Sus scrofa: one gene and its partners. The protein of the gene in region 3 interacts with the protein of the main gene of each other region in a pairwise test. Links are inferred from orthologs where the notes say so. Each region holds a gene or a part of one and is shown on either strand. Other genes may lie near its edges.

Region 1 (4,068 bases), on a different chromosome or scaffold from region 3:
ATAGCTTTGCTGTGAGGATTAAGGAACACTAAAGAAAGGAAACACGCTTAAAGCTATTGTATCTATTGCATTCCTGCCCCTGCTGTAAGTGCCAGGCACGGGACAGGTACAGATGGACAATGGCAACAAGACAATCTAATTGGAGATAATTTGTTTCTAAGCATGGCATCTTCAGTGAGACTTTCCCGCTAAACGTTCAACTTAGTTTCTAGAAAAATAACTCTTCTTTCCCCCTCATATTTCATTGGTAGAGGACATGAATTAAATTCCCTAATTACAATAACGAACTCAGCAAGTGTACAAGATGTGTGGGAACCAGTACTTCCGACGCCTGGGAAACAACTCGACTAGGGGATGAGGTTGAACAGGCGCAACAAAATGGCATTTTTCAAACCGCAGCTCACCACTCTCAGTGAGCCATTGTAAAGGAAGTAGGTTGTCATCAGCATTTTGAAAAATGAAATAGGAAATAAAATATAAAAGCACCTCACATATAGTCAAGTATCATTTTAGGAAACTCTTCAGTTACACAAGTGTGTGTGCTGGGGGCGGGGCTGTCTCACGATGGGTCCTGGGCCCCCAAACATGATGTTCCTAGTGCGAGAACCCCACTTCTAAACGGCGGCTTTTTGAGCCGGTTTGGATGCTAAAGGGAGGGAGAGGTACTCAACTGGGTGGAGGGGAGGGTCCTTGGGACGGGGTGGGGGGCGTACGTATAGGAGGTGGAGAAGCGCACCCTGTCCCCTGGTGCAGGATGGGTTTTCCTGGAGGTTAGCGTGGGTGGCAAGTTTGAGGAACAGAGGGGCAGTGCCTTGTCTCAGGAAGGCAGAGGGTCACGAGGGAAGTTTGAAACAAAACTTCCACAGGAACCCAGGGCTCCGAGCTCCCCGCCCAGGCTCTTTGTGACAAAACCGCCGAAACCTCCAGGGGGATCGGAGGGACCGCTAGGACCCCGGGACCCCGCCTCCGCCCCGCCCAGTCAGACCTACTGGAACCCTTTGTAGTCAAGGAGGGGACCCAGCAGCCCCAGGCCGAGTGTCAGGAGGTGGCGCGGGCGGCTGGATCTGCGCGGAACAAGGATTCTGCAGGCAGCGCGGGCGGGACCCTCAAATACAAAGGGTCTCGCAGCCCTGCCGAGGTCAGGAGGGATGAAAGGGGACCGCCGGGCCAATCCGATAGCAAGATTCACAGTCGCGAGCTCAGGAGCCAATCGGACCCCCGGAGCAGCAGCGAGGCGGGTACGGAGCCAATCATCTGTGAGGAAAGGGCGAGGGGGCGGATCCGCGTGGAGTTTCAAATCGGATGGGTGGGCGAGGAGCAGCTGTGCTCAGCGTCGGGTCAGCGTTGGACGCTGCTGCGTGAGTACCGGCCAGGCGTGGTGGGGCTTCTGTTCAGAAGGGACAGGGAGGGGGTGGGGAGACACTAGTCAGGACGGGCTCGGCACGTGGGGCTTCTAGGTATAGGCAAGTGGAAATCAGGGTGTCTGGTCAGCCCAGCGGAGCGCGTTGGGTCCGGACGAGCTCGTGAAGAGCCGCTAGTCCTGATCTGGGCCAAGTGCTGAGGCTCGGCGACAGCGGGTCCTGACATCCTCCCTCCCTGCTTGCGGCAGATAAAGGAAAGGGGCAGGGATGAAATGACAGCTGTTTCAGATACTTGCAGCTGGAGATGCCTTTGCTCACAAGCCTTGTTCAGCCTCTGTGGTCTTCTGGGCCTCGCTGAGCCCTCCCTCTCCAGGAAGCATGCTCCTCACTGCACTTGCAGTTGCCAAGTGCCCCACCCCATGGGCTTCCATCCCATCTCTTCCCCTGGGTCTCAGGGTCTCTGTGGAGCCTGGGAATGAGATGGGGGCGTTGCTTTGCTGACCTCCCCTTTGATCCCCTCCCCAGGGTCTGCTGGGCAGGACAGACTCTCGGCCAGGCAGATGTCTTCTCGGTGGCCAAGCGTGGGGGTCTCCATGCGTCGGAGATCTCTCCAGAACCAGGAGCAGCTGGAGGAGAGCGAGGTCCTACAGCCTGCAGTCAGCCACCCGGATACCTCCAGTGGGGCCTTGGGATCCCTCTGCAGACAGTTCCAAAGGAGGCTGCCCCTGAGAGCAGTCAGCCTCAACCTTGGGGCAGGCCCCTCCTGGAAACGCCTGGAAACTCCAGAACCAGGGCAGCAGGGCCTCCAGGCTGCAGCTCGCTCAGCTAAGAACGCCTTGGGTGCCATGTCTCAGGTAAAGCTGACCCTGTCCAGGTATGGAGGGCTTCCTAGAGGCTGGACAATGGCTGCCTCCAAGAATAGAGACACCGAGAATACAGGGACTTGGACTTGCTCCTCGCTGTGTCCCCAGCACTCCCAGTAGTTCCTGGCACATAGTAGGTGCTCAACAAATAGCTGAACAAGTGAATGAAAACGGTGTTATGGAGCAAACAGAGCCTCACAAGACAAGACACTAGAGCTCTATTGTGATAGAAAATGGCAAGCAAATGGTGGGGGAAATACCAAAAAGAATTGCAGTCAGTGAAGGCTTCCCGGAGGTGGTGACTCCAATAGAATTCACCCAGGAAAGGGGAAGGAGGAGTGTACAAGGCAGGTGAAATAGGCTAGGGTTGAGAGAGAGCATGATGCTGAAGAGAACGTTCAGGAACTCAGTCTGGATATGGCTGGAGGACAGAGAGCAAGATGGAACATTACATGGCGAGGGGGACCGGCATGCTGAGTATGTTTAGATGTTCCCAGGAGCGACAGGGAGCCAGTGGGAAGAATTTTCAACAGAGTGGGAATGGGGTCCGGTTAGCCTGTCAGAACTTGTTCTTTAGCTACTTGATGGAATGCGGGTGAGAAGCAGACTCACCCCCAAAGGGGGCCTGGTGGCCGGGCCATACAGAGGAGTGAACAACTTCAAGAACTTCTCAGAAGGTAGATTTGAGAGGATCTGGCATCCAGTGAGACATGTGCCCAGGAAGATGCCACAGGTGTTGCGGGTGACATGTGCCTGGGCCTTCCAAGTGGGTGTATCTCCAAACTGGGGGCCGCGGTGTGGGGAGGTGTCATCCAGGAAGGCGAGGAGCTGTGAGTGTGGACACGGGGCGGGGGGGCATCTCCCTGGGGTCTGACCGGGAATCTGAAGGTGCAGGAGAGGGAGGCTGTTTCTGGACCCTTTGCGAAATCTCTGAGCCTAAGGCCGGTCCTTGAAAATGATGTCTGGGCAGCAAGGGGGAGGGTGGATTTGAGCGGGGCAGATCGAGGCAGGGAGAGCGATCAGGTCACAGTATCCTGGGGGCAGACGTGGTCTCTGGGCCTCCCCTTTGAGTCTGGGTCAGTCCGTGTCCTGAAAGAGGGTTTAAACTTAGACCAAGCAGACACCCCCCCCCCCCCGCCAGGGCGTTCCTACGGCGACCACGCACTCCTCCTGGGGGGCTCTGGGCTGGGTCCCTGCTGTGGCCCCTTTCACATGGGCTCATCTACATCCCTCACCCTGAGACTAACAGCTTCCTGGACGTGTCGGACCAGCCTGGGGACACTAGGGAATCTCTGCCTTGGCTTGTCCTTGCTGATGGTGCTGTGTACCTGTCACAGAGATTCCAGGAGTCCTGCCACAGCGGCACTAAGTGGCTGGTGGAAACCCAGGTGAAGGCCAGGAGGAGGAAGAGAGGGGCCCAAAAGGGCAGTAGTCCCCTGGCTCGCAGCCTGAGCCACAGGAGCAGCCAGCTGTCCGGGGCCGCCCCTGCCTGCTCCACCCTGGGACCCTGGGACCCTCGGGCCGTCCCTCGGCGGCGGTCCAGGAGAGAGGCCGCCTTCCGGAGCCCCTATTCCTCAGCAGAGCCCCTCTGCTCCCCCAGGTAAGTGGGGTGCTGATTCGCACTGGGGCTCCCTGGAGCCAGGACCACCCTAAGCTGAGTCATACCCGGGGCTCTGGCCCAGCTCTGCGTCCCGAGAGGGGTGGACCTGGGGAGGCCTTTCAAGGCCTTAGCTTCCCATCTGCAAAGGAAGGGGTGAGCTTGACTCTGAGAGAATCACAGTCCCTGGGCTCCTCTGAGCCCAGATGCGAGTTGTGACGCCATCGGAGGGCTGAGGCTCAGTCTC
Region 2 (3,239 bases), on a different chromosome or scaffold from region 3:
AGATGCTAGTCAGATTCATTTCCGCTGGGCCAACAAATTCTTGTTAAGGTGGCCAATTTGAGGAAATAGTCAGGTCAGCCTTCTACCTAACCTTTCAGCCCAGACTGCTCAGTATGTTTTCAACCAAGCAAATTCCAGTACCTCCCCGAGTTATCTTTCAGCTGGTGGGGCATTTTCTCCCAGTGTCTTTCAACTGAGCTCCCCTAGCATCTATCAACTGGGGAAGAGGTCAATCCCCAGTATCTTTCAACTGGGGAGTAAGCAATATAGACACTATCAAATAAAACTCAGGATCATGAACCATTAATTGGGAAATCAGAGAAGCAGGAGGGACTTACCCAAATTCACCTGGCCTCTCCAAGGAGGGGGTTGGGCACAAGAGACCTCTTCCTAGAGTTCAGGTGAAGCAGAGAAGTCTGCTCTGGGTCCCTTCATGGTGACCAAAACTGTTAACTGAAAACAAATAAAAAGAACAGCAACAACCAAAAAACCCCCGCACAACCTAAAACTTGAAAATTATGCTTTATTTGGTGGACTTTCTGAGGACTCAAGGCCAGGAGGCAGCCTCGCAAATAGCTCCAAAGAGCTAAGGGAGAAGCCAGGATATACAGGAGTTTTCCAACAAAAACCAGGTAGTCAGACCATCAAAAGAGTAGTGTTAATTAAAGAAAACCAGACATCTCAAGTTAATGAATTTAGCACTTTTCAATGTATGGGAAGATGCCAGAGTCTGGGCTCACTTAAATCATTCCTTTGATATGCACCTTGGCTTTCCAGAGCCAGCATCCTGTTTGTTCCCAGTCTCAGTTCCCTCAGTGTGCCCCCGTCGGGGTGGCCGCAGTGGCTCAGGGCTTGGCAGCAGGCAGCCATCTGTCTCCACCGCTGGGTGGGCGGCAGTATTGGCTGATGGCTTCACGACTGCAGCATCCCTCGCAGATTTGACAGGCGTTTTTCATTCACAGCTATAAAGGATCTCAAACCTCAAGAATCCACTAAGTTCCACCTAGTAAGGCGCCGGTAGTACCCTTCTCCGAGTCAGGCTCCTCCAGGCGATTCCTCTGCCCACAGGGAGGGTCGGCAGGCCTGTGGCCCGCGGTCTGGAAGGGCGGCCCTGGGGCCTCGGCTGAGACCTCCCAGGGCTTGGGCCTCCGCGGGAGCTGGGACGCCGTGGGTTCGCTGAGGGTCGCCGCGACAAGAGGCCTCTCCAGGCCCGGAAGCTCCTGGCCCTGCTGCACCAGCTGCAGAAGACGCGCCAGGGTCACCGAGGCCGGGGCTGACTTCTCCGGTACAGGACCTCCGCCGCTAGGGCTTGAACTGCCTGGCTGTTCCATGACAGGCTCCGAACCTGCGCGCTTCTCTTCCGGGAGGGATGGATGCAACCATTGTAGGAGGAAGTGAAGGGGGGAGCATAGACCGTACCAAGCAGCCCAGAGAGCGGGGGAGCACTGGACGACCAGCTCCGCGAAGAAACGCCTCGCTCACACTTAAGGCTTACCCTGCCCAAGAGCCTCTAACGTTGAAAGCTTTAGAACCCCGAAGTCTTGCACAGCTGACACGGAGATATAGGTAAAAAGACACGAATTTTCACAAATGCACGGGCATCACGAACATACCGGCTTTCATGCACACGCTGAAGTGCATAGAGTACAGGGATTATTGCATAGATGCGTGGCAGGAGGATAACCTCCATCCGGGGCTCCTGCAGCACCAGACAGAAAATAACGGAGGAAATGTCTGCAAGTGGTTTCAGAAGAACTGGGAATAAGTGATGCCACGGCTCTCTCCCCATTCCCTGCCTTCAAGACAATTCCTGGTGTTCCCATAGTGGAAGAGAGAAGATGAAGGCGGACCAGGCTGCTACAGCTTCCTTCCACCTGCTTAGGAAGTCAGTGTCAATAAAGCTCAGGTTTCTAAGTTTATCAGAAACTAGCCAGATCCGACACTCACCACCTTAATCAAGTGAGCAAAGCTTAATTAATAGTAATAGAACAAACTAGCATCAGATGTCTCCTGAAGTGATGCACTGAGAGGGGCTGCAGGTGTAGGAACACAGCCTCACTTCTGTAGTGTTCCTGCTAAAAATGTTCACTCTGAATCTAAACTTGAGGAAATGAGTAGACAAACCAAAATGACAGACATTCTGCAAAATGACCTGGACACTTTATAGTTGTCAGTGTCATAAAAGACAAAGACAGAAGGAAAAAGACTGAGGAACTGTGTCAGACTAAAGGAGACTGAAAAATACAAAGTGTGATCCTGGATTGGATCTAGATGAGGGGAAAATCAGTTACAAAGGACATTTTAACCCTTGGGAAATTTTGAATTGACCTGTGTATTAGATGACAGTGTTATCATCTAATAACAGATGATACAGTTTAACTGTATATCAGTGTTAAATTAAGTACACAATTGTGCTCTGGCTATGTTAGAGAATGACCTTGTTTATAAGAGATACATCCTGAAGTATTTATGGGTGAAATGTCACAACGAAAAAGGGAGGGGAAAAAAAGCAAATGTGGAAAAATTGCTGGAATTGGTGGATCTAAATGGTTTGTAACTTGTTGAAATTAAAAGTTAATAAGGGTGACCTTGAGAAGCCAGTCTTGAGGAAACTGACCATACCAAGTCTTGTATAATAAGGAATTTGAGGACTTCCCTTGTGGCATAGAGGGTTAAGTATCTGAAGCTGGCACAGAGGGTTAAGGATTTGGAGCTATTCCTGCCGTGGCTCAGGTCACTGCTATAGCATGGGTTTGATCCCTGACCCCGGAACCTCCACATTGCTGAAGGCACAGAGCCCCCCCAAAAAAGAAGAATTTGACTGGTCTTTGTCCCTGGCATTTCCCAAGTATTAGAAGTGATATTCATGGTGGGCCCTGACAGTTTATGCCAAGGAGGTGAGTCATGGTGGCCCCTAAGTGGTTTCAGGATTGGTGCTGACCAGTCATGTGATTGGAGGGTTGGGGCTTTGACTCATGAAGGGTCCAGGAAAGAGGCCTGGAAATTGAATTCAGTCTCCAGCCTATGATTTATTCAGCCATGCCTATGTAATAAAACCCCTAAAGCAACTCTGGACACAAAGCTCAGTGGAGCTTCCTGATTGGTGAACTCATCAATGTATCAGGAGGGGACATGCCCTGGTTCCAGGAGGAGATGAATGACACAGAAGCCCTGCATGCAGGACCCTCCCAGACCTTGCCCTATGCGCCTCTTCATCTGGCTGGTCCAGCTGATCTATA
Region 3 (4,034 bases):
GAAATACTGGACATAGAGCATACCTGGCCACAGCCAACAATATTTACTTTCAAGGTTTTTACACTAAAGCATACACTCTTTTATCTAGCAATTCCATTTTTAGGAATTTTTACTGATATACAGATATAAACAAAGATTGTGTTAGGCAATTTAGAACAGCACTGTTTATAACAGTTACAAGTTGGAAACAGCTTAAATGTCCACACAGTACTGGTTAAATAAACTATGGTTGGCAGTTCCCATCATGGTGCAGTGGCAAGGAGCCCGACTAGGATCCATGAGGATGCGGGTTTGATCCCTGCCCTCGCTCAGTGGGTTAAGGATTGCTCCACTGTGAGCTGTGGTGGAGGTTGCAGATGCAACTTGGATCTGGCTTTGCTGTGGCTGTGCTGTAGGCTGGCAGCTACAGCTCCAATTGGACCCCTGGCCTGGGAACCTCCATATGTCGCAGGTGCAGCCCTAGAGAAGACCAAAAAAAAAAAAAAAAAAAAAAGACAAACATAAACTATAGTTATATCCACACTATTGAATATCACACAGCCATTACAAAGAATTGAGCAACTTTATACCTACTTCTAAAAATCAATTTTCAAGCTATGTTGTTAAATTTTTTTAAAAAAAAGGAAAGTCCAGAAAAATGTTTAAGATATTTTACCATAAGAAGAAGTAGGCACATACACGTTAAGTGGGTATATTCATAGTATATATAGGGAATAACACAAAAGGAATAAGCGAGGGGAGATATAAACTTTTCAGCACACTTAATTTAGGTTTTGATATCTTTTGAATTTTATACTAATTCATCGTTACTAATTATAAAAAATAATTCAATATAAAAAAGGTGTTTTGTAGTATAACAGAATAGGTGTAGCTTAGACATGAGACAGAACCTAATTTATTTTGTTTTTGTTTTTGGCTGGGCCCACAGCATGCCAAAGTTCCTGGGCCAGGGATGGAACACTTGCCACAGCTGTAACCAGAGCCACAGCAGTCACAATGCCAGATCCTTAACCTGCTGAGCCACAAGAGAATCCCAGAACCTAATTTTAATCCTAGCACCCCTACTTATCTACCTTAACCGAAGCCTTTGAGCCTGCTTGTTCATCTGTCAAATAGGGATCATGTATCTGAAAACACCCAGTAAATAGCAAGTGCTTAAAATAAAAAATTATCAGAAAGGAAATAACCAGGATGAACCTCAAAATGAACCAATATTGAGGTTCATTTTGAACCTCATTGAACTCACTGAAGTTCCTGTTGTGGCTCAGTGGTAACAAACCCAACTAGTATCCATGAGGACTCGAGTTTCACCCTGGCCTCGCTCAGTGGGTTAAGAATCCAGCGTTGCTATGAGCTGTGGTGTAGGTCTCAGACTGGCTTGGATCTGGTGTGGCTGTGGCATAGGCTGACAGCTGCAGCTCCAATTTGGCCCCTAGCATGGGAACTTCCATATGCCACAGGTACAGCCCTAAAAAGCAAACACAAAAAAAGAACCAATGTTTAGAAGAGCTGCCTACTCCATGTCAAGTACTGCACCTGACAACTTGGTTTTCAGAATATTCCTGTGATATGAGAACTCTTGAGGTTAATGTTCCTATGAAGTCAATAAGATATGCAATCTTACTTGACAGATGAGAAAACTAAATTCCACGCTAAGGAGTTTCCTGATCTCCTAGCAATTAAGGATTTGGTGTTGTCACTGCTGTGGCTCATGTTTGATTCCTGGCCTAGGAACTTCCGAGAGCTGCGGGTGCAGGAAAGAAAGAAAGGAGGAAAGAAGGAAGTCCGGGAGAAAGGGAGGGTGGGAGGAAGGAAGAAAGAAATCCCTTGCTTTGAGTGTAAAACATGAAAGAAAATGAAAGGATTCCTAAAGAATAAAGAGGCACTACAAGGATTCCAGAAAAGTAAAGCCCACCTGAGGAGATGGCAGTGGAAGTCGGGAAAAGACTACGGTCAGAGTAGTGGCTTCCGTGGACACTGTCACAGCTGCCTCATCTGGGAAGAGTCAGAGGAGGAGGCAGAAGCCAGTATGTTAGTGCCAAACGGATAAGGCTGCAGCTGCTGGACGGGCTGTGAAGATAACACGTTCCCTCTCCACCCTTGCCGGCTTAGACGTCTCAAAACACCTCCAAAAATCAGTGTTTTAAATCTCAACCTCAGAGATGCCGAGAATGGGTAAGATGAGGTATCCCCACAGAGGGGACAGGCCGGGGAAAAGCAGGAAGGAAAGGGACAGGGACAACTGAAGAGATGAGAGATGGCAGTCTCCAACAAGAGAGGCACTCACTGAATCTTCTCCAAAAGGTCTCCCGATTAAACTCCTTGGTAGTCTCCCGGGCTTCGCCGACTAGTGGGTTCGGCGTGTGGGCCGGGCCACCGCAAAAGGAAGAGCAGAGGTAAGCGGCGCTACCTGAGGCCCCCATTTCCTCCGCTCCCGCCGGGCCCTGCCGCCCTCCCCTCCCCCGACTCCCCCATCCCTCGCTCCCTGGTGCCGCCGCCGCCCTGGCCCGGCTTCTCCCTACCCACGCCGGTCCCTGTGGGGGTCCGTCTCCACTGTGTCAGCTCACCCCGCACTCCAGGAAGGAGCAACCGAAGCTCCTCTGCTAGGTGCCGGAGCTGCTCCAAAGGCACAGCCAGGGTGGGGACTGGAGCATCAGGGGGAGCTGCATTCGCCATCCCAGTAGGACTCTGGGAGCCAGCGTACTTAGCTGCCACGGAAGCCGCCTGAGCCGCACAGCAGTAGCCACTCCACTTCCGGGCGTCACGGATGCGGGTTCGCTTCCGGCAACAAGAGAAGCCGCCCGCCCCGCCCCGACGTGACTCCACCCCCGCGCCGGGCCCTGACCACACACGCAAGGCGACGCAGAGTTATTTCTTATTCATTATTCATTTATTTGATTAGTGGCAAACACCTCCGACAGAGGAAGCAGAGAACCCTGTGGGAAAAGAGGACCAGGAACTAATCAAGGGTAGTCAGGGTCAGGCCCAAGTTTGCACTGGTTCCCTGCCCCTCAAGTGGTGGCGCCCTTGTCCCCTGCTGAGTTCCAGACACTGTGCTAGGTACTTTACATGAGGTAACGTTAAAAAAACACTGGGTTCACATACTACCAAACACACCAGCTCCTGCCCTGTGGATCTCCTAGATTAGGGCTCTCTCTTCACAAAAGTAAATCAACCTTCTGCCTTCTTAGGGAAGGAAGGAATCATGGCATTATTTAGAGATTTTTTTCCTGCAGTCCATTATGCAGGAAATCAGTAGTGGGGAATCCCCCCACCTCCCAGGCGGCCAAGAAACAGCAGCTCCCTGAAGCTTGCCTACTAGTATTGGCCTTCCGCCTGTTTCGGGGGGCAGAGGCCTGGGCTAGAGCTGGATGATGAGACATGGCCTTCAGGAACTCAGGTGGCTTTTTAACTGCACTATGAAGGTTCCAAGCTCTGTGGAGTTCAGTGTCCACACACAACGAATGAGAACAGGTGTCACCAGTGTCAGCCAGGTCCGCAAAGGGGAGAATAATAAAGCTAGAGTGCCATATGTCATATGAAGAAAGTAGCAGGAATAAATCTGCCAGATGTACAGCAGTAACATAAGTAGATGAACAGGTATAATTTTCAAGTATTTTCCTTGACGGAGATGAGACCTGAAGTTGTGACCAAAGCACCGCTGCAGCAAACTCCAACACAGGTAAGCCATCAAGGGGATGTTAAAAAACACCAGCTGGAAAGAGCAGAACAGAACCATTAGATTATGAGCAAGTCCTGGAGGAGTTGGGTCTCACTAACACATTATTGGTGGCTCCTAAAAATATACTGCTTTCTCTCTTGGGAGTTAACAATCTGATTCATTATGTTTCAATCACACTTGCTTATAACACTTGCAATTTTTAGTTAGCTGTTTATTTGCCTGTATCCTTTCATTCACATTAAAGGCATTTTATTTATGTGAAAGCGGCAAATAATGTTTAAGTATATACAATACTCTTTTTTTTTTTTAGGCAGAGTGAGGGTGGATAGGGTATCAATATTTTCTCTTCCTA
Region 4 (4,300 bases), on a different chromosome or scaffold from region 3:
CCAGGCACTGCAGCCATAGGCATGAGTGGCCCCTGCAGGGACCTTAGTCACAGAGCCCTGCTAGCTGCTTGCTCCTTCTACCCAAGAACAACACAGCAATCTGCTTAGGTGTTGGTGTTTTCTGGGTTTATTCCTCCTTGTTCCTTATTCCAAGTAAGCCTAGGCTTACTTCACTCCACATCCATGGCCTGCACAGTTTCTTCCACCAGCTCCAGGGTCAGCGGCATCACTGTCTGGGACAGGACAGCTGTGGTCCCAGGGGCAAAGCGATACTGGCTGGATCTGGGAAGAAGAGATGACCTCTCAAAATGGGCCCATCACGTGGTCAATCCTCTCTTTGCAGCCCATCTCCCTTGCTGCCACCCTATCCTCTCCTTTGTTCCCCCATCTTCCATGCTCTTACCTTTCTGTGGGCTTTGTGGGAGAGCTCAGTGTTCGCAGCAGCTTGGCACCGGTCCCCATGATCACACATGCATCCACATTGCCCCCAGAGCCCAGGTCACTTAGGATCCCTGCAGTAATGGCTTCCACCAGCAGCCCCTGTGCTGCCTCCAGCTGTAACAATGCATGTGTGAAGCCCTGACGGACACTGTGGTATCACCCTTAGGCTATAGCCTGGAGATTGCTGATCTCTTCCCTGCCTACTCCACAGCCACAGCAACGGCAACGCCAAATCTGAGCCGCATCTGCAATTTATACCGCAGCTCGTGGCAACACCAGATTCTTCACCCACTGAGCAAGGCCAGGGATCGAACCCACATCTTCATGGATCCTAGTCAGGTTCGTTACCACTGAGCCATGACGGGAACTCGGGCACTGCTATTTACCATCTGCTCTCACCTTATACTCCCATCTCCACCTCAAGCTCCTCTCCCCGGGTGTCAGTTTCCCTCTCTCCAGAGACCCGGTGTTCCCAATGCCCCATCTTCACAAACTTCTCTGAGTCACACCTGTGGCTCTGGTTCCAGGGGCCTATTCACTCACCCAGTGTAGTCTTGGCCCCCAATCCCAGGCTCATTTCCTTTTTCTTTCTGGGCCTTAGGCACCTATGAAGTGACATATGCCTCTCTTTCCATCCACCTCAAAACAAGACCCAGACTCCAGACCCCACCTGTTGTTCTCTCCTCCCTTAGCTCTAAATGGTCCTCTCTGAGTTTTGACCTCTCCATGCAGTCCAAGCTTTGGCATTGACAGTGGTCTGTTGGAATTGCACTTCTCCACCCTCGCTCCACTGGCTTCTCCTCCTGTACTCAGTCATCACCTCTGAAAAGCTTTTCCTGACCTCCGGATTAGGCCAGGGTACCTCTGTGTTTCCCCAGCTCCCAAGTGCACTTCCCACCAATGCAATGCCTAGTGGGGCGCAGATGTCACTCACAGTCATGTTGGGCTGGAACCGGTCTTCTAGCACTGCCAGGGCTGCATCTTGGCCGGAGCCTGTAGACAGGAGGGGTATCTGAGGTCAGCCGCGGCCGCATGGTCGCGGGAGAAACGGGAGGCCAGGATGGTATACGTGGGATTCGTGGGGAAGGGATGGAAGGGCTCACCTAGGGCCGTGAAGGGCAGACGGCTGTAGGACCCATGGGGGTGCACGCTGTAGAGCTGGGGTCCTGTGAAGTCTATGCCGCCCACGATTAGCGACGCGCCCACATGGCCCTGGTACCTTTTCCGCAAGTGGGCGCAGTCAGCCAAACAAACCAGGACCCAGGTCCCTCCCCTCCATGGTCCTGCACCCGAGCCCCGCCCCTTCCCGTGGTCTGGAGCCCCATGACTGACATTGCTGCTTCCGGTTGCCTTCTTAACTCCTCTTAGGCTGACCTCTTCCGGTCTCCCGGCACCTCGCAGCCCTGTCCTTCCTCTTGTCCCACCTCCTATCAGCCCCACCTTCCCTGCAACTGCCCCTCCCCAGGGTCGTCTTAGCCCAGCTCCAGCACCGGAAGAGCTTCTGGCGTAACATGCGAGTGACAGTGGCCACGCGCGGCTCGCGGCCGGTGGATAGTGCGTGTAGCTCTATGTTGGATGCCGCCATCCGCGTGGTCATCTCGGCGTCCGCGGCTACTCCAGCCCCACAGCAGCTGAGGGTGAAGGGAGGGTCCATGTGGTCGGGGCTAAGGTGTGCGGAGACCAGGGACGGGGAACTAAGGGGCAGTTCTTGAGAGGAATGCTCACTAGATTTTGGGGGCGATGAAGTGGATCTTTTCGCAGCTCTTGTCCGCCACGACCGAGTCGTTAGTGGCCCGCGTATCCGCGCCCAGGATTACCCCGTCCTGGAGAAGAGGGGAGAAGCCGTTAGGTCATTGCCCACTTCCTATTCCCGGCCGCCCCTCCACGCCCCACAGTCACAACTTCTTGCTCACCTGGAATACAAGACCTGCAATGGTGGTCCCCGTCTTGAGTGCGTGAGGGACCCGGAACCCAGGGAGGGCGCGTTCCAAGGATGCATTTCTGGAACGGAGGGAAAAGTCTCAGGTTTCTTTTCTTATGGGATCCCCCTCCCCCAATCACATTCTCCAACTCCGTCCACGTTTCTCTCACTTCTCCATGTAAGCCTCGGAACCCAAGTCGTCGTCTTACTTTTAAAGATCCTGGTTCTCCCACTCCCAGAGACCCTCACTGAGGACCTAGGCAGCTGGGGACCAATCATCCCCCCACTCACCTCTGGCAGTTCTCAAAGGAAAAGCCCCCTAGGGGCTCTAGCGCTATCTTCTGCATGTCCAGGTGGGCAGGGCAGTCCAGGGGTATGGAGGTCAGAGGAGTAGGACCAGCACCAAGCAAAGAAGGCCACAGCCTTGTCCTTTGTCCTTGTCCTGCACGACTGAGCTTAACTGCTTTCGCTTTCACATTTCCTCACAGCATGATGGCTCCTTTCTGCATCCTCTTTCACTTTCACCTTCACCTCTGGTCCTATGCAGCTTGGCAAGGGTGAGATGTCCCTTGCCTGGTTCTCCATGTTGCTCCCAGGCCTCTGTCTGATACAGCAACAAATACCTCCCTTCTGGCCATTGTCCCGCCTGAGCCCTGAGCTCTGCCTACTCTGACCCCAACTCTAATTGCAAGTCCCAATGCCCCAAGCTGTCACACTGACCAAGTCTCTGATCTCATTGTTACTGGCCTGCCAACAGCATCAGCTGCCTATTGTCTTTTATTACTCTCCTTCTCCCAACTCCTGCCTATTTTGCTGCCTTAGCCTTTTCCATCAAACCTCAGACTCCAAGGCTCAATCCTTGGCCAAGGCAATGCCGATCCTTCCATCATCCCTGTTTCAGGTGCTGTTTTCTCTCTCTCAGGAACGGTGCCATGGCTGTTCATCTGGTGGCCCATACACATTCTGGGCTCTACCCATGGCCAAGCCTTTTTTCACTTCCCAAATGACCCTTGATCTATCCAGATCTTTCTCCTAATTACTGCTTATCTCAACTAGCAGTATCTCTCCCCTAGATTCTACACTGGCCTCCCTGGTTTCCCCACACTTCCTGCCCCTCATCTTCCAGCACAGGCTACACTCTACCCTGCAGAGACGGGGCTTTTTACTAGATTGGAAATCTGGTCATACTCTTTCCTATTTATTTATTTATTTATTTATTTATTCATTTATTTATTTTTGTCTTTTTGTCCTTTTTAAAATTTATTTTTTATTACTTAAATGACTTTATCACATCTGTAGTTGTATAATGATCATAACAATCTGATTTCACAGGATTTCCATCCCACACCCAAGCACATCCCCCCATCCCCCAAACTGTCTCCTCTGGAGACCATAAGTTTTTCAATGTCTGTGAGTCAGTATCTTTTCTGCAAAGAAGTTCAGTCTGTCCTTTTTTTCAGATTCCACATGTCAGTGAAAGCATTTGATGTTGGTATCTCATTGTATGGCTGACTTCACGTAGCATGATAATTTCTAGGTCCATCCATGTTGCTAAAAATGCTGGTATTTCGTTCTTTTTAATGGCTGAGTAATATTCCATTGTGTATATGTACCACATCTTCTTAATCCACTCCTCTGTTGATGGACATTTAGGTTGTTTCCATGTTTTGGCTATTGAAAATAGTGCTGCAATGAACATCGGAGTACATGTGTCTTTGTGACTCATGGTTTTTAGGCTGTGCCCACGGCATATGGAGGTTCCCAGGCCAGGGGTCTAATCGGAGCTGTAGCTGCCAGCCTACACCAGAGCCACAGCAACGCGGGATCTGAGCCACCTCTGTGACCTACACCACAGCTCACAGCAACGCTGGATCCTTAACCCACTGAGCGAGGCTAGGGACAGAACCCACAACCTCATGGTTCCTAGTTGGATTCGTT
Region 5 (4,005 bases), on a different chromosome or scaffold from region 3:
AACATTCATCCATTAACTACCTCATTTTTCTCATTCTTCCTTTCACTGATTGACTCTATTCGAAATCTCATGTCTTATTACAGGCCCTAGCATAACAGCCCTTACTGTGTGCCCAGCACTGTATACTCATTAATTTGTTAAATCCTTCATCAATTTTATACTGTTCTTGCCATTTTACAGATGAGGAAACTGAGATAAGAGATTAAACTGTCTTTGATTATTATACTGCAAGTCAGCCGCATGGCCAGGATTCCCTCTGAAGCTAGATATGCTCTCAACTATTAATATAAGAAAGTCCTGGAGGAGTTCTTATCATGGCTTAGCAGAAAGGAATCTGACTAGGAACCACGAGGTTGTGGGTTTAATTCGTGGCCGCGCTCAGTGGGTTAAGGATCTGGCGTTGCTGTGAGCTGTGATGTAGGTTGCAGACATGGCTCGGATCTGGTGTTGCTGTGGCTGTGGCATAGGCCGGCAGCTGTAGCTCCGTTTAGACCCCTAGCCTGGAAACCTCCGTATGGTGCGAGTGCAGCCCTAAAAAGAAAAAAAAAAAAAAAAAAAAATGAAAGGCCTGGGATGGACAGCCTGTACCTCCAGGAAGCGAGAATGCAGAGTTTCCTCGGTGATGTCAAGCACTTCAGGGTTGTAGATGCTGCCATTGTCAAACACCTGCTGGATGATCAGCCCAAAGGAGAAGGGGGAGATGTTCAACATGTTCAGCAACGTGGCTTCACTGGCTCCCACTTTGTCTCCAGTCTTAATCAGCTGCACATCACTCTGAAAAACAAGGTAGGTGACAGTTAACCCAGACATCCAGCAGGTCCACAGCAACCAAGCCCCCGCCACCTGCCTGGCTGGCACAGGCCAAGCCAGGCCCACTCACCAGGATTTCAATGGTGCCCCTGGAGATTTTAGTGGTGATGCCTAAAGCCTGGAAGAAGGAGGTCTTCTCAGGCCCCAGACCAGTGTTCTGGGCAGGTACAGTGACTTCGCATGGGGCTATGGCACCAGCACGGGCGGCAGCTGGCACCTGAACAAAAAGGACAAACAATGAGAAAACTTCTTTCCACAGCTACAACCTGAAAAAGATTGTCTTCTTTTTTTCTTGCTTTTAAGGAGCCAAAATTAATGATAAGGCCTCTTCAGCCAAGCTGATTCTCCCCTCACCTTATTGGCCAGCAGCATGTCCCTGATCTCAGTGAGGTCCTCCTTGGTGAACACAAAGCCCACGTTCCCCCGGATGTGAGGCAACAGTCTGCAAAGAGAAGTTTACAAGAGACGGTTAACTTTGAGCACCATTCTTCTCCAGGAAAAGGGAGAAGGATGGACAAAGATGCCCAGGAGGAATGACTGACTTCTCCAGGGCTGGGTTGTTTTCCAGGTGCCCTCGGATGGCCTTGCGCATCATGGTGTTCTTGCCCATCAGCACCACGGCTTTCCCGCGGAGAGACATGCGGATCTGCTGCATCTGCTTGGAGCCCACATTGTCTGCTCCCACAATGAAGCATTTCGGATAATCATCCAGAAGTTGCTGCCCAAACAAGCCAGACACGAGCAATGTTAACAGAAGGAAAAAGAAAGGATCAAGAAAAACCAAATCCCACAATCTCAAGTTTCCGTTTCACTCACTCCTTTTTATGCTTTTCAAATGTCTGAGGTTAAGACAATTCCTCCTACTAGCAGGCACCTGAGCTGTGAGAGCCAGATTTGCCTAAGATTTGCTTGTGGGGTATGAATGGTAAGATCATGTTTCTACATTCAACCCAAAGGTTTAATTGTAGCTTCCATTCTTAATTTTTCTCAATTAAGGCATGTTTCTGATCCACTAAAATGGCTGCATTAACAAAACCCAGTTTTGAAAATACAAAGTAAGGCAAACACAGCAAAACATTACTTGTAGAATTTAGGTTTCAAGTATGGATCATTGAAAAATTCCTTTAAGTTTTTTGTCTCAAAATCATGAAAAATGGAAAACATAATGGACTAAGGTCCACAAAGCTGCCTAACGCCTAAAGAGCAGCATGACCTGATGATCAACAATTCTGGGCAGCGAAGACCCACCTCAAGGCCACCCAAAAGAAAACATTCACTGAATTAGTTTCTTGACAGGATCTAAATCTGCAGCAACTTGCCTCTTTATAATGAATCATTCAGTGCCTCAGACTTCCCCAAAGATGGATACAAAAAAGTAAAAGTATGACCAGAGATCTTTAGAAGTACTCTTAAGAGCCATTTAACCTGCCTGAGCCTGTTTATCTGCAACACAAGGAAGCAGAGGAACGCTGACCTCAGGAAATTATTAAGATTAAAGAAGACTTGCCTAAAACGACCTAATTTGATGGTTGGCCACCTGCAGGCACTCAGCACCTGGCCGCTGGTTGTCCCTATTACTGCCCCGGGCAAGGCACCACAGTGGGCGGCCGAGACCTACCCCGCACTTACGATTATCTTAAGGAAGTAGTTGGACTTCCAGGTCGCCCTGTCTTCCCTGGGCATCACGGCGGTGCGTCAGGGATTGCCACGCAGGGTTTAAAGACGATGTCACTGAGAAAAAAGAGAGAAAATTCAGCATACTCCAACACGCGTCCCCACGGAGCGGCGGGCTCCAAACCCGAGGCCTAGGGGAGGAGACCACTCTCCCGCGCCCGGCGGCCCGAACGGGCCCTGGACTTGCCGCCAGCGGAGCCCCAGGCCAGAGAGGCCTGGACCCCGCGGCCCCCGAAAATATACCCGAAAGCCTCATTTCTCCCGCCGCCAGTCCCCTACGCTACCACAGCGGACGAACAGACCTCACACGAGGACGCCTGGCGAGAGGAGGGCTGTACGCCGGCGCGAGTCTTTTATATGTGAACAAAACAGCCAATCCAAAGCCGCAGACAGCGCCCCCGCCTATTGGCTGGCTTCAACGTCTGTCTGGAGAAGCTGGGTTGATCTATGCAGCCATTGGATGGTATCGCTGCCACTCCAGCCAACGGGACGCTGCCTTTAAACACGGTAGCTAAAGAAAGCACTGCTGTGTGTGGAAGGAGGTTTCTCAGAGGTGCTTCCCTCTGCTGGGCTGGAGCTGTTCTCGTGTAGAGAAGCTAGAGTTTGTGACCTGAGTCCACGTTTCCTTCTGTCACCTGGCCAAGTCGCAAGCTGAAGAGTATGACGTGGAGCTGAGAAATAATTGTACATGGTTGAGAAGCAGAATGGTTTCTTGTTTCTTCTACAGTTCTTCGCTCTTTGGAAACAAAGGGATGCTTTAAAACCTAAGTCTCAGAGTTTCCATTATGGTTCTACGGGTTAAAGACCAGACGTAATCTCCGTGAGGATGCCGGTTCCATCCCTGGCCTCGCTCAGTGGGTTAAGGATCCGGCTTTGCAGCAAGCTGCAGCGTAGGTCACAGATGCGGCTCGAATCCGCAGCTGCAGCTCCCCATTCCACCCCTAAAAGGAAAATAATAATATGGAGTTCCCGTCGTGGCTCATGGTTAACGAATTCGACTAGAAACCCGCATTCGAGTGCGGGTTTGATCCCTGCACTCCGTCAGTGAGTTAAAGATCCCGCGTTGCCTAGAGCTGTGGTGTAGGTCGCAGACGCGGTTCGCATCCCGCGTTGCTGTGGCTCTGGCGTAGGCTGCTGGCTGCAGCTCCGATTCGACCCCTAGCCAGGGAACCTCCATATGCTGCACGCCCTAGAAAAGACAAAAAAAAGAAAACCCACTTCCACTCCCTCTTTCCTCTGTTCCTATAGCACTTACACAGCACACTATATAATTTGTTACATTGTTTCGTGTCTCTATTTTTGCCTTATACCTGGCATAATAGGCATATGCTAAATATTTGTTGAAGAAAAGAATGCAGGGTTTGCAATCAGATAACCTGGATCCATATTCTTGTTCTGCCACTTGCTGGTTGTGTCATCTCAGGAAGCGATTTCACCTTGCTGACTCTGTTTCTTTATCTGTAAAATGGAGATAATAGTATTCACATTCTAGAACTGTTATGAGGATTACTGCGAGATATG
Region 6 (4,159 bases), on a different chromosome or scaffold from region 3:
AAGTTAACACCTGGACAGAGAAACTGGAAGGCTCAGGGAATAGGACATCCCCTCCAGCACACACATCTTTTTCTGCAGTGGCACTAATGCCCTCTTGGCTTAGATAATTCTTTGTTTGGGGTTGGAAGGGAGGGTCTGTCTTGTGCACTGTAGAATGCTTAGAGGTGACCCTGAGCTCTACCCAAAAACATTAGCCCCCAAACACCTCCAGGCGCTGCCAAATGGGGGAACAAAACCACCCTCAGTTGAGACACACTGCCCTTTGGTAACTGGCCATACTTTTTTTCAGATACGACACATTAAAAAAATTTTCCCACCCGCCAAAATAAATATATTTCCCACCTGTCTTCTAAACAGCCTTTCACACAAGATACATGGGCTTTAAAGATCCCTATACCTCAAACCCAAATATGTTCTGTTTCCAAGGCCAGGGAAAGGCACACTCACGTGTTGGCAAAATCTTTAGGATTACCACCAGGTCAGCCACATTGTGTCCTGTAGTCATCGTTCCCTTTTTATATGATCCAACTTGTCGGACTTCTTCGATTTGCTGTTGGAGAGAGAATTTCAGAAGAAAAACCTTAGAGCCAAGCAAGGCAACTTCCACACTACCAAGGCCACCCTTCCCTAGGACTAAATCATCAAAACCTCACCACTTCAAATGTCCCTGGAGCCACGATCAAGTTGTCAATCACATTATTTATTTTTGTCACCAAAGAAAGGATAGAGGCCTGAAAACAGCAGGAAACAAAAATACCATAAAGGTGAAACATGATAAGCAACTTCTCATCAAGTTTGAATGTTTTCCCCTAATCCCTGCAATACAGGCTCAATCAGTACCTACAACGGACTCTGAAAACACTCTGGACCCTTCTGGCTTTGAATATGCCAGAAGAGAAAACTTTGATCCAAAGATAGATGCCCCAGTAAAAATATAAATGCACACATAATTTGTTTATATCATCCCTGGTGCTCTCCCTCCACCCACAGTGAGAAATAAGGAGAACAATTAAACCCTCTGGGGAGGGCAGGCTCTGATAAGTGTAACGGCACCAGTAGTTATTTACTTCTCTACTTCATTCGTGAAATCTCAGGAGGAAAACTAACAGAATATACCTGCTCAGCTGAATTAGGAGCCAGGTCCTGATTCCTCTTCAGTAAGGCCTCACTGAAGGAAGTTTCATCAGGTGCTGGCTTGACCCGAGGAAAGGCCATTTCACACTAAACCAGAAATAAACAATTTTATACTACCCACCAAAAATAACATAAAATAAAGATTGTTTTTTCCTGTTGCCACAAAACAAAAAAAAGTTGAAAAGAGAAAATTCTAAAACACTTATTTTTAACTCCATAAAATATTTAAACAAGCATAGAAACTAGAAGAGCCATAATTTAAGCTCTCACTACCGTTACATTAACAGATAAACCAAAGATACAATTAACTGTTCAAAACAAAGATTCTAATCCTGTTACTACCAACTGTAGTCAAGGAACTATGTTCCCCACCCAGTTTACACTGCTTTTGTATGTAAAGCAATACAGGCTGACTCAAAACCCAATCCCACTCACTAACCCCCTTTCCTACTCCAACCACCATTTGACTTTATTAACAGGGAGACCCTAGGCTCCAGGAAACAAGTGAACTGCGGTCAAGGTACTCACCAAATAGAAATCAAATGGGATATGTGGCACAAACGGCCTGAACCTAAAAAATGAAAAACAAGTCAAATTATTCACCACAGAAATCAAGTGGTTTTAGCATAAAGGGGCCAGAACTCTCATTTAGGAGAGCACGGAAAGAATGCTTCTAAACCACAGCTGGAGCTCACAAAAGCAGGTAAGATTAGTCCGCTCCAAACACCCCATTTAGGTGACTGAAATGGAAACTAAGTGTGCAGAGATGCTAAAAACTGGCACTCACCCTCCTCCTGGGCCTCCTCTGGAACCAAAGCGCCCGCCACGACCACGGCCTCTGTCCCCCCTAGAAATGCATAAATACATTTTTAACTTGGTTCTCACCGCGTTGAAACGACCTCCACCATACCGGCCATATGATTTCAAGTTCGCTTACCGCCATCTCCGTGAACTTCCGTTTGGAAGCTAAGAGATCCCATTCCCACTGACAACACTTGCTCTCCATCCGTCCCAAGCGCCCAGCCTCAACCCCCAAGACCGCCTCCTTCTGGGTAATTTAATCACATCAAATACTGACGAGGTTCAGTGAGCCCTACAAGAAATGCCCCATAATTCCCGGGGCGCGCCAGCCCTAATACTTCAGAGACTAACGAGATTGCTCATTTATTCGTAACTAGTAAAAGCATCTAACGGCAACCCTATACGTCAAGCACTTAGCCTGGAGTATGAACGAGGCACGTTCAAGCCTTCTCAGTCTAGATGGTGGTCGGGGTGGGGAGGTGGTCCTCCTGGGAGGTGAGGACAGCCCCTCATCTAACCGCCCCCGCTCCCGCTTCCCCTTGCCTGGGCCCCACCCCCATCCCTGGCCCACGTTTCCCCGCCTCCGCGGCCCCCGACTTCCCCCACGCTCCCAAGCGGGAGTTCTCAGATTTCCGTGCAGCCCCCAGATACACGGCCCTTCAAGACCTCCGAGTCCTTTCAGCCCGCGTACCCAAAGTTTTTGGTCGAATACTCGAAACCCTTCCAGAGCACCCCACGACCCTTACCTCATGGCGTCCCAAAGTCCGAACAATGGAGGCCACACCAACCGCCCCTTTCCTCCGAGAAGCCCTCAACTGGAGAGGCGGCTTGCCGGCGTATGCCAACAAACCCCGGCGTGATTGGCTCCCGCCGTTCTGCACCACTTATGCCTATTGGTTCACTTCAGCAAACCGGGTTTATGAACCAATAAAAAGCCCCTACTATGTCAGGGACCAGCCAATAAGAAAGGACTTGACAGGAAAGACTTTTTTTTACGGACACCAGGGGGCATGGTGTAGAGCAATCAGGTTGGCTAACACTCAGAGAACTTTCTATACGATTTTTGAAAAATATCTTGCCGAGCTAGCAGAGTGGCGCAGCGGAAGCGTGCTGGGCCCATAACCCAGAGGTCGATGGATCGAAACCATCCTCTGCTAGGAGAGCTTTTCTTTCTTTTCCCCCCTCCTTCCCACTCCAGGACAGAAACTCTTGTTTTTCTAGTAGATGTAAATACCGCACTCCTATGTTTTCCTCCTTAGAAGCTAATTTTTGCCAAAAGCAGGCAAATGGCGCAAGCAGGCGAAATGGAATAGGAAGGGACTTAGGCAACTATGACTACACGTCTGGATGTAGTTCACAGAGACTAGAAACTTGAGGCAGGAGAAGCGGATTTGAATATAATAATTGAATCGGAGAGGAGAAATACTGATGTGGAGGGGCTAGAAGGCAAACTGAGACAGCCTCAGGAAAGAGAGTTCAGATGAAGAGAACAACGGAAATGACTGGAGAAAAAGACCAGACCCATCCCTCTTGCCCAGTATCCCCTCATTTCTCCTTTCCTCACTCGGCAACCTCCCTGGTGGATTTTACTCTTAAACGAAGCTTCACAGCCACATATAAGGATAAACTGCTGTTGCATTTAAATCAATCATATTACAAGTTGCTCTTTGTCCTGTTTCTCCCTCTTCTTGCCTTCTTTTTCACTGACTAATATTTATTATTCCTTCCCTGCCTCTGTCAATAGAAAGTTACGCACTTTTTCTGCTCCCTCAGTGGTTACCCTAAAAATTTCGTGCCTCCTTGAAAGGGCAGAGTCTAATTTTACCCTCCTCGTGAAAAATGCAGGAGTAATTTAATTCAATTTACCACACTGACTCTAGAATTATATATACTATTGTGTAACTTTTAAGTATTACATTGACGTATTATTTACTACAGCAAAATGCACAGATCTTAAATCTACAGCTCCAATATTTTTGAATAATGTATTCTGCCCTTGTAATCACCGCATAGATTAACATAAAGAATATTTTTAGCACCTGACAAATTTGGCTTATACGCCTTTGCTCTCCCCCTGGAGGCAAACACTATTCCAATTTCTCTTATTGTAGATTGGTTTCGTCTGCTCTTCACATAAATGGACTCACAGCCTATGTGTTCTTTTTCCTCTGGCTTCTTTTGCTTGGCACATTTCAAAATTTTTCCATGTTTCTGCATTTATCAG
Region 7 (4,049 bases), on a different chromosome or scaffold from region 3:
CAGGTGTTCATATGTTCAAAGAAAAGCCCCCTGGGCATAGTAAGGCTGCTGCTTATGGCTGCTTTATAAAGGATGTCAGAAAGATCTTCCTATTGGGATGACATCTGAATGGAGGTCAAAGGGAGGGAGAGAGCAAGGAGAACAGACACAGAGAAGAGCATTCCAGGACCAGGGAATGGCCTGCCACTGTCCCACCGGAGAGAGCCAGCAGCTTTCTAAAACCACAACTGAGCAGAGCACAAGCGCCACCACATAATGGTTATCACAACTCAAAAGGGATCAAAATAAAGGCAGCAGCATGTGGACTGAATGGAAATCAGAAATAGGCTTCTATGTAATTCCAAAAACTTGAATCCAGACTTACCTCCTCTACCAGCTGGACACCATAATCCCTCTTAGATGGCTGGATGGTCACACCCCTGCCATTGACAAGCTGGGTTAAGTCAATAGGTTGTGTAGGATCAACTCGACCCAAGTCAATAAGATACTGCAGTCTATTGAGACTCAAAGGCTGATACTGGTGTCGGAAGCTGCAGAACAAGAAAGTTGAAAACGCAGTCAGACTTATCTTCCTGTGAGATCCAAGGCTTTGTCCTATGTTTTCCTCCCTCAATTTAGATGGTTTAATGAAACTCCTGAGTATACTATAAACATGTAATACTCCTTGAATTTTGGCAACAAAACAAAACCATTAAGTACTTACTTTGTTTCCTTAAAAATTACTGGCCTAAGCATTTACTTCACTCACACATATAAACAAATACTGAAAAATTTAACACACTATCTGAATTATTCACTAAAGGAATTCAGGGAGTTCCCGTCAGCTCAAGGGTAATAAACCTAACTAGTATCCATGAGGACACAGATTTGATCCCTGGCCTTGATCGGTGTGTCAAGGATCCAGCATTGCCATAAGCTGTGGTGTAGGTCAAAGACAAGGCTAGGGGAGTTCCCGTCGTGGCTCAGTGGTTGACGAATCCGACTAGGAACCATGGGGTTTCGGGTTCGATCCCTGTCCTTGCTCAAGTGGGTTGAGGATCCGGCATTGCCATGAGCTGTGGTGTAGGTCACAGATGCGGCTCGGATCCCGAGTTGCTGTGGCTCTGGCTGGCAGCTACGGCTCCGATTTGACCCCTAGCCTGGGAACATCCACATGCTGTGGGAGCGGCCCTAGAAAGGACAAAAAAAAAAAAAAAGAACTCAAAGTAATGGTAGTTATCATGTATTGGGTGATGATAGAGGACCAGATTTTTATATATATTGTTGTGCTAAACAACCTCAAGAGCAGGCTCTGTAAGTATCTCCATTTGGCAGGTCTGAGTGCAAAGTCTGGCTTTTTTTTCCCTACTAAATCAGGCTAAGTTTCATTACCAAAAGTGGGTCACAGCAACAGGAGCAAGTTTGCTTCAAGTGGATTTAAATTTCTACCAAGCTATTTTTAGGTGATTCTCAGTAAGAATTAGAGATTTTCAGGTTGAGAAGCAAAGCAAAGTTACCTATGTCCTTCATTAAAGCCATATTTTGGGATTCGAAGGTAGAATGGAGTCTGGCCTCCCTCAAAGCCCAATCGGGGCCGGGTTCCTCTCTGCCGTTCTCCCTTGTGGCCTCTGCCACATTTTCTGCCTCTTCTCCGACCTCTTGGTCGTCTTTCCTACAAGGAAAGAGGAATGTTTTATGATCCACACACGCATCTGTTTAAATCATATTTCACCTTTGTGCTGTATCTTTTGGTTATGCCCTTCATTCATCCAACCAGCTAGCAATAGCCAAATTTACAAGGTTCCAGACACCATCCTGGCTGCCCTGAAATCCAAATACTCAACACTAACAGCTTTGCCTCTGAAGACGTAGCTGATTCTTGCAACCAAGTTGTGTTTCAAAGGCAAAGTTCCAAGAATGAGATGAGAAAAAGGATTCTATGACAGGCGGGAATTGAAGAAAATTCTAGAATTAAACATCCACGACTAGCAAAATTTATGTAATATTCAAGTGCATTTATTTTGAAATTAATTGTAAATATGCCACTGTTGCCCATATATAGTATTTTATTTAACTTAATTTCCTGTCACTTCACGAAATCAAGGAGTTCTTAAAGTGACAGTACGTCCACTAACAGCTCAGAGATTTACAGAAGAAACATCGAACATAGTATCTTTCCTATAAAGATAAAGACACAATGGAAAAAACTTCATTAAAACCCGTCTTAACGAGACAGTCGTTTTTAACTCCTGCGATTTCGCTCCTCGATAGTAAAATAATTATGCTCTTAAACCCGAACCTTGCAGAGAACTGAAACCACGTGGTCAGGTTTTCCCACGTCACTCAAGGAGACCTGGGGCCCGGCAGCCCCTCCCTCCTCCCAGAGCCTATGGACTCACAACCCTCAGGACCCCGCCACCGCGCCGACATCCGCAGCCTTACCGGTTTCCTGGAGCCCGGGTTCGGCTTCAGGTTGGCCAGACTCACACGGGGAAGGGCTCGCAGCAGGTCCAGGGCCCGGGGCCCACCGCCCTGCACGGGGCCGCCCATAACCCGTGCCGCAAAAGCCGCAAGGGCGCCGATCCACGTGATCTGGGACGCTGCTTTACGGCCGCGGCACCGCCCCTGTCGTGCTGTCAGTCCGCTGCGCCGCTTGCCGCGGGGCACACCGGGAGCCGGCTCCGCGTTGGAGGCAGCACGTGTCTCCCCATGTCTACCTCGTAGCGGCGTGATCCGGCTTTGTTTTCAGTTGGTTGGGGCTGGGCTATTTCGAGAGGTCGTGCCCCGACCCCGGCTCTGAATGTGCAGCGTTCTCTTGCGCTGCACCAGGCAGGCACTGAAAACGCTGTGTGTAGGAGTCCCTGGCCTGTGCTGTCACAACGTCTGGTCCTTAGAAGCAGGGCTGTCTCTGAGCTCCAGGTGGAGTGCAGAATAAGATCACCTGGACGCTGAAGCACTAGCTTGCGCTGGGCCAGTTGTATACACTATGGCCTGAAAAAAAGTTGTGCAATGTAAAGGTTGGAAGTTAAGTTTTATTTGGGGCAAAATGACTATAAAGTCTGGGAAACAGCGTTTCAGGGACCTCTGAGGAACTGCTTTGAAGAGGTAGGGGGAAGGTCAGTGTATACGATTTTAGTGAAGGGGGTACGTGCAATCAAGCACACGTTTTGGCAGACGTTTCCTGCTAGTCATCAGGAACAAATACCATGGTTAATGACTTTACGGCTTTTCTAGACAGGAGATGTAAAAATTTGGGTTCATAAAATCCCCCGAAAATATCTATGTGAAAGTTGTTCTGCCAGTTTTTCCCAGAGCACATTTCTGATCTCCATGCTTTCAGTATGTGTTGAAGCTCAGCAGCTGCAGTGGCTACTAACAATCCTAGGAGAGACAGATGGCTAGTGCCAATTTTTAGTTGGCACCAGTGAGATAAGAATACCTGAGGTCTAGGTATTGCAATGGCTGGCTAGTAGCAACTGTGAAAAAGACTCAAAACCCTGCATCCAGTCTGAGTGCCTCTGTTATGCTTTGACTGAGTCACTGAGATACTAACTCAAAAGCTGTTAATAATGAAGGAGCCAGGCTGAGTGCTTGGTATGTCAGTCACGTGCTGATTCAGCCTCATTTTGTTCAACTAAACAACTCCTCGTGGGGTAGATGTTTTATCACCTTTGACAGACTTGGCAGGGTTGGTAGTTGGACTAAGATCTCAGCAAGCCGCAGAGACAAGATTTGTACTTTGGCTCCTATTACATAAGTAATATTTTTTTATAACATGAAGCTGAATATCTGCAGCACAAAATACGTAACATTTTCACTGAATAAAATATGAGCTTCCCTATTTTTGTCTTAAGTGAGTGTAATATAGACCATGCTTCTTTCTTTTTCTTCTAATTTTTTTTTTTTTTTTTTTTTTTTTTTTTGTTTCACTGTCTGGGGTGTTGTTCCTGCTGTTCCTGTTAGTGTAAGTAAGAAATAACTTTGTGGAGCACAGCTACTTCCTTTTTTTTTTTTAAGGCCGCATCTATGGCATATGGAAGTTCTCAGGCTAGGGGTCAAATTGGAGTTAT

What was found.
Region 1: the proteins of CCNDBP1 (region 3) and PIMREG interact in binary tests that used the Homo sapiens proteins (3 or more experiments, as listed by UniProt). The two-hybrid records come from large-scale screens. The link is inferred for Sus scrofa from reciprocal best matches to the Homo sapiens genes CCNDBP1 and PIMREG.
Region 2: the proteins of CCNDBP1 (region 3) and C7H6orf226 interact in binary tests that used the Homo sapiens proteins (3 or more experiments, as listed by UniProt). The two-hybrid records come from large-scale screens. The link is inferred for Sus scrofa from reciprocal best matches to the Homo sapiens genes CCNDBP1 and PEX39.
Region 4: the proteins of CCNDBP1 (region 3) and PSMB10 interact in binary tests that used the Homo sapiens proteins (3 or more experiments, as listed by UniProt). The two-hybrid records come from large-scale screens. The link is inferred for Sus scrofa from reciprocal best matches to the Homo sapiens genes CCNDBP1 and PSMB10.
Region 5: the proteins of CCNDBP1 (region 3) and RPLP0 interact in binary tests that used the Homo sapiens proteins (3 or more experiments, as listed by UniProt). The link is inferred for Sus scrofa from reciprocal best matches to the Homo sapiens genes CCNDBP1 and RPLP0.
Region 6: the proteins of CCNDBP1 (region 3) and ILF2 interact in a two-hybrid assay, tested with the Homo sapiens proteins (2 studies listed by BioGRID and IntAct). The two-hybrid records come from large-scale screens. The link is inferred for Sus scrofa from reciprocal best matches to the Homo sapiens genes CCNDBP1 and ILF2.
Region 7: the proteins of CCNDBP1 (region 3) and MRPL15 interact in binary tests that used the Homo sapiens proteins (3 or more experiments, as listed by UniProt). The two-hybrid records come from large-scale screens. The link is inferred for Sus scrofa from reciprocal best matches to the Homo sapiens genes CCNDBP1 and MRPL15.

The regions. Positions count from the first base shown.
Region 1 is NC_010454.4:50,900,431-50,904,498, reverse strand, and holds the start of PIMREG (protein FAM64A), read left to right. Parts: upstream 1-1,260; 5' UTR 1,261-1,358; intron 1,359-1,886; 5' UTR 1,887-1,921; coding exon 1,922-2,215; intron 2,216-3,561; coding exon 3,562-3,824; intron 3,825-4,068. UniProt on the Homo sapiens protein: During mitosis, may play a role in the control of metaphase-to-anaphase transition.
Region 2 is NC_010449.5:37,986,239-37,989,477, forward strand, and holds C7H6orf226 (uncharacterized protein C6orf226 homolog), read right to left. Parts: upstream 2,019-3,239; 5' UTR 1,332-2,018; coding exon 993-1,331; 3' UTR 504-992; downstream 1-503. UniProt on the Homo sapiens protein: May be a peroxin involved in the PTS2-mediated protein import pathway.
Region 3 is NC_010443.5:128,266,722-128,270,755, forward strand, and holds the start of CCNDBP1 (cyclin-D1-binding protein 1), read right to left. Parts: upstream 2,804-4,034; 5' UTR 2,677-2,803; coding exon 2,523-2,676; intron 2,348-2,522; coding exon 2,288-2,347; intron 1,996-2,287; coding exon 1,916-1,995; intron 1-1,915. Other genes in the region: TMEM62 (transmembrane protein 62), read right to left, coding at 3,389-3,715. UniProt on the Homo sapiens protein: May negatively regulate cell cycle progression. May act at least in part via inhibition of the cyclin-D1/CDK4 complex, thereby preventing phosphorylation of RB1 and blocking E2F-dependent transcription.
Region 4 is NC_010448.4:28,544,803-28,549,102, forward strand, and holds PSMB10 (proteasome subunit beta type-10), read right to left. Parts: upstream 2,808-4,300; 5' UTR 2,710-2,807; coding exon 2,654-2,709; intron 2,443-2,653; coding exon 2,355-2,442; intron 2,265-2,354; coding exon 2,167-2,264; intron 2,073-2,166; coding exon 1,932-2,072; intron 1,661-1,931; coding exon 1,545-1,660; intron 1,435-1,544; coding exon 1,376-1,434; intron 556-1,375; coding exon 404-555; intron 283-403; coding exon 171-282; 3' UTR 108-170; downstream 1-107. UniProt on the Homo sapiens protein: The proteasome is a multicatalytic proteinase complex which is characterized by its ability to cleave peptides with Arg, Phe, Tyr, Leu, and Glu adjacent to the leaving group at neutral or slightly basic pH.
Region 5 is NC_010456.5:40,221,133-40,225,137, forward strand, and holds the start of RPLP0 (60S acidic ribosomal protein P0), read right to left. Parts: upstream 2,812-4,005; 5' UTR 2,787-2,811; intron 2,542-2,786; 5' UTR 2,494-2,541; coding exon 2,440-2,493; intron 1,529-2,439; coding exon 1,353-1,528; intron 1,253-1,352; coding exon 1,165-1,252; intron 1,028-1,164; coding exon 881-1,027; intron 775-880; coding exon 589-774; intron 1-588.
Region 6 is NC_010446.5:95,979,511-95,983,669, reverse strand, and holds the start of ILF2 (interleukin enhancer-binding factor 2), read right to left. Parts: upstream 2,809-4,159; 5' UTR 2,687-2,808; coding exon 2,682-2,686; intron 1,982-2,681; coding exon 1,922-1,981; intron 1,706-1,921; coding exon 1,663-1,705; intron 1,222-1,662; coding exon 1,117-1,221; intron 732-1,116; coding exon 654-731; intron 551-653; coding exon 448-550; intron 1-447. UniProt on the Homo sapiens protein: Chromatin-interacting protein that forms a stable heterodimer with interleukin enhancer-binding factor 3/ILF3 and plays a role in several biological processes including transcription, innate immunity or cell growth.
Region 7 is NC_010446.5:77,073,012-77,077,060, forward strand, and holds the start of MRPL15 (39S ribosomal protein L15, mitochondrial), read right to left. Parts: upstream 2,812-4,049; 5' UTR 2,530-2,811; coding exon 2,422-2,529; intron 1,652-2,421; coding exon 1,497-1,651; intron 531-1,496; coding exon 365-530; intron 1-364.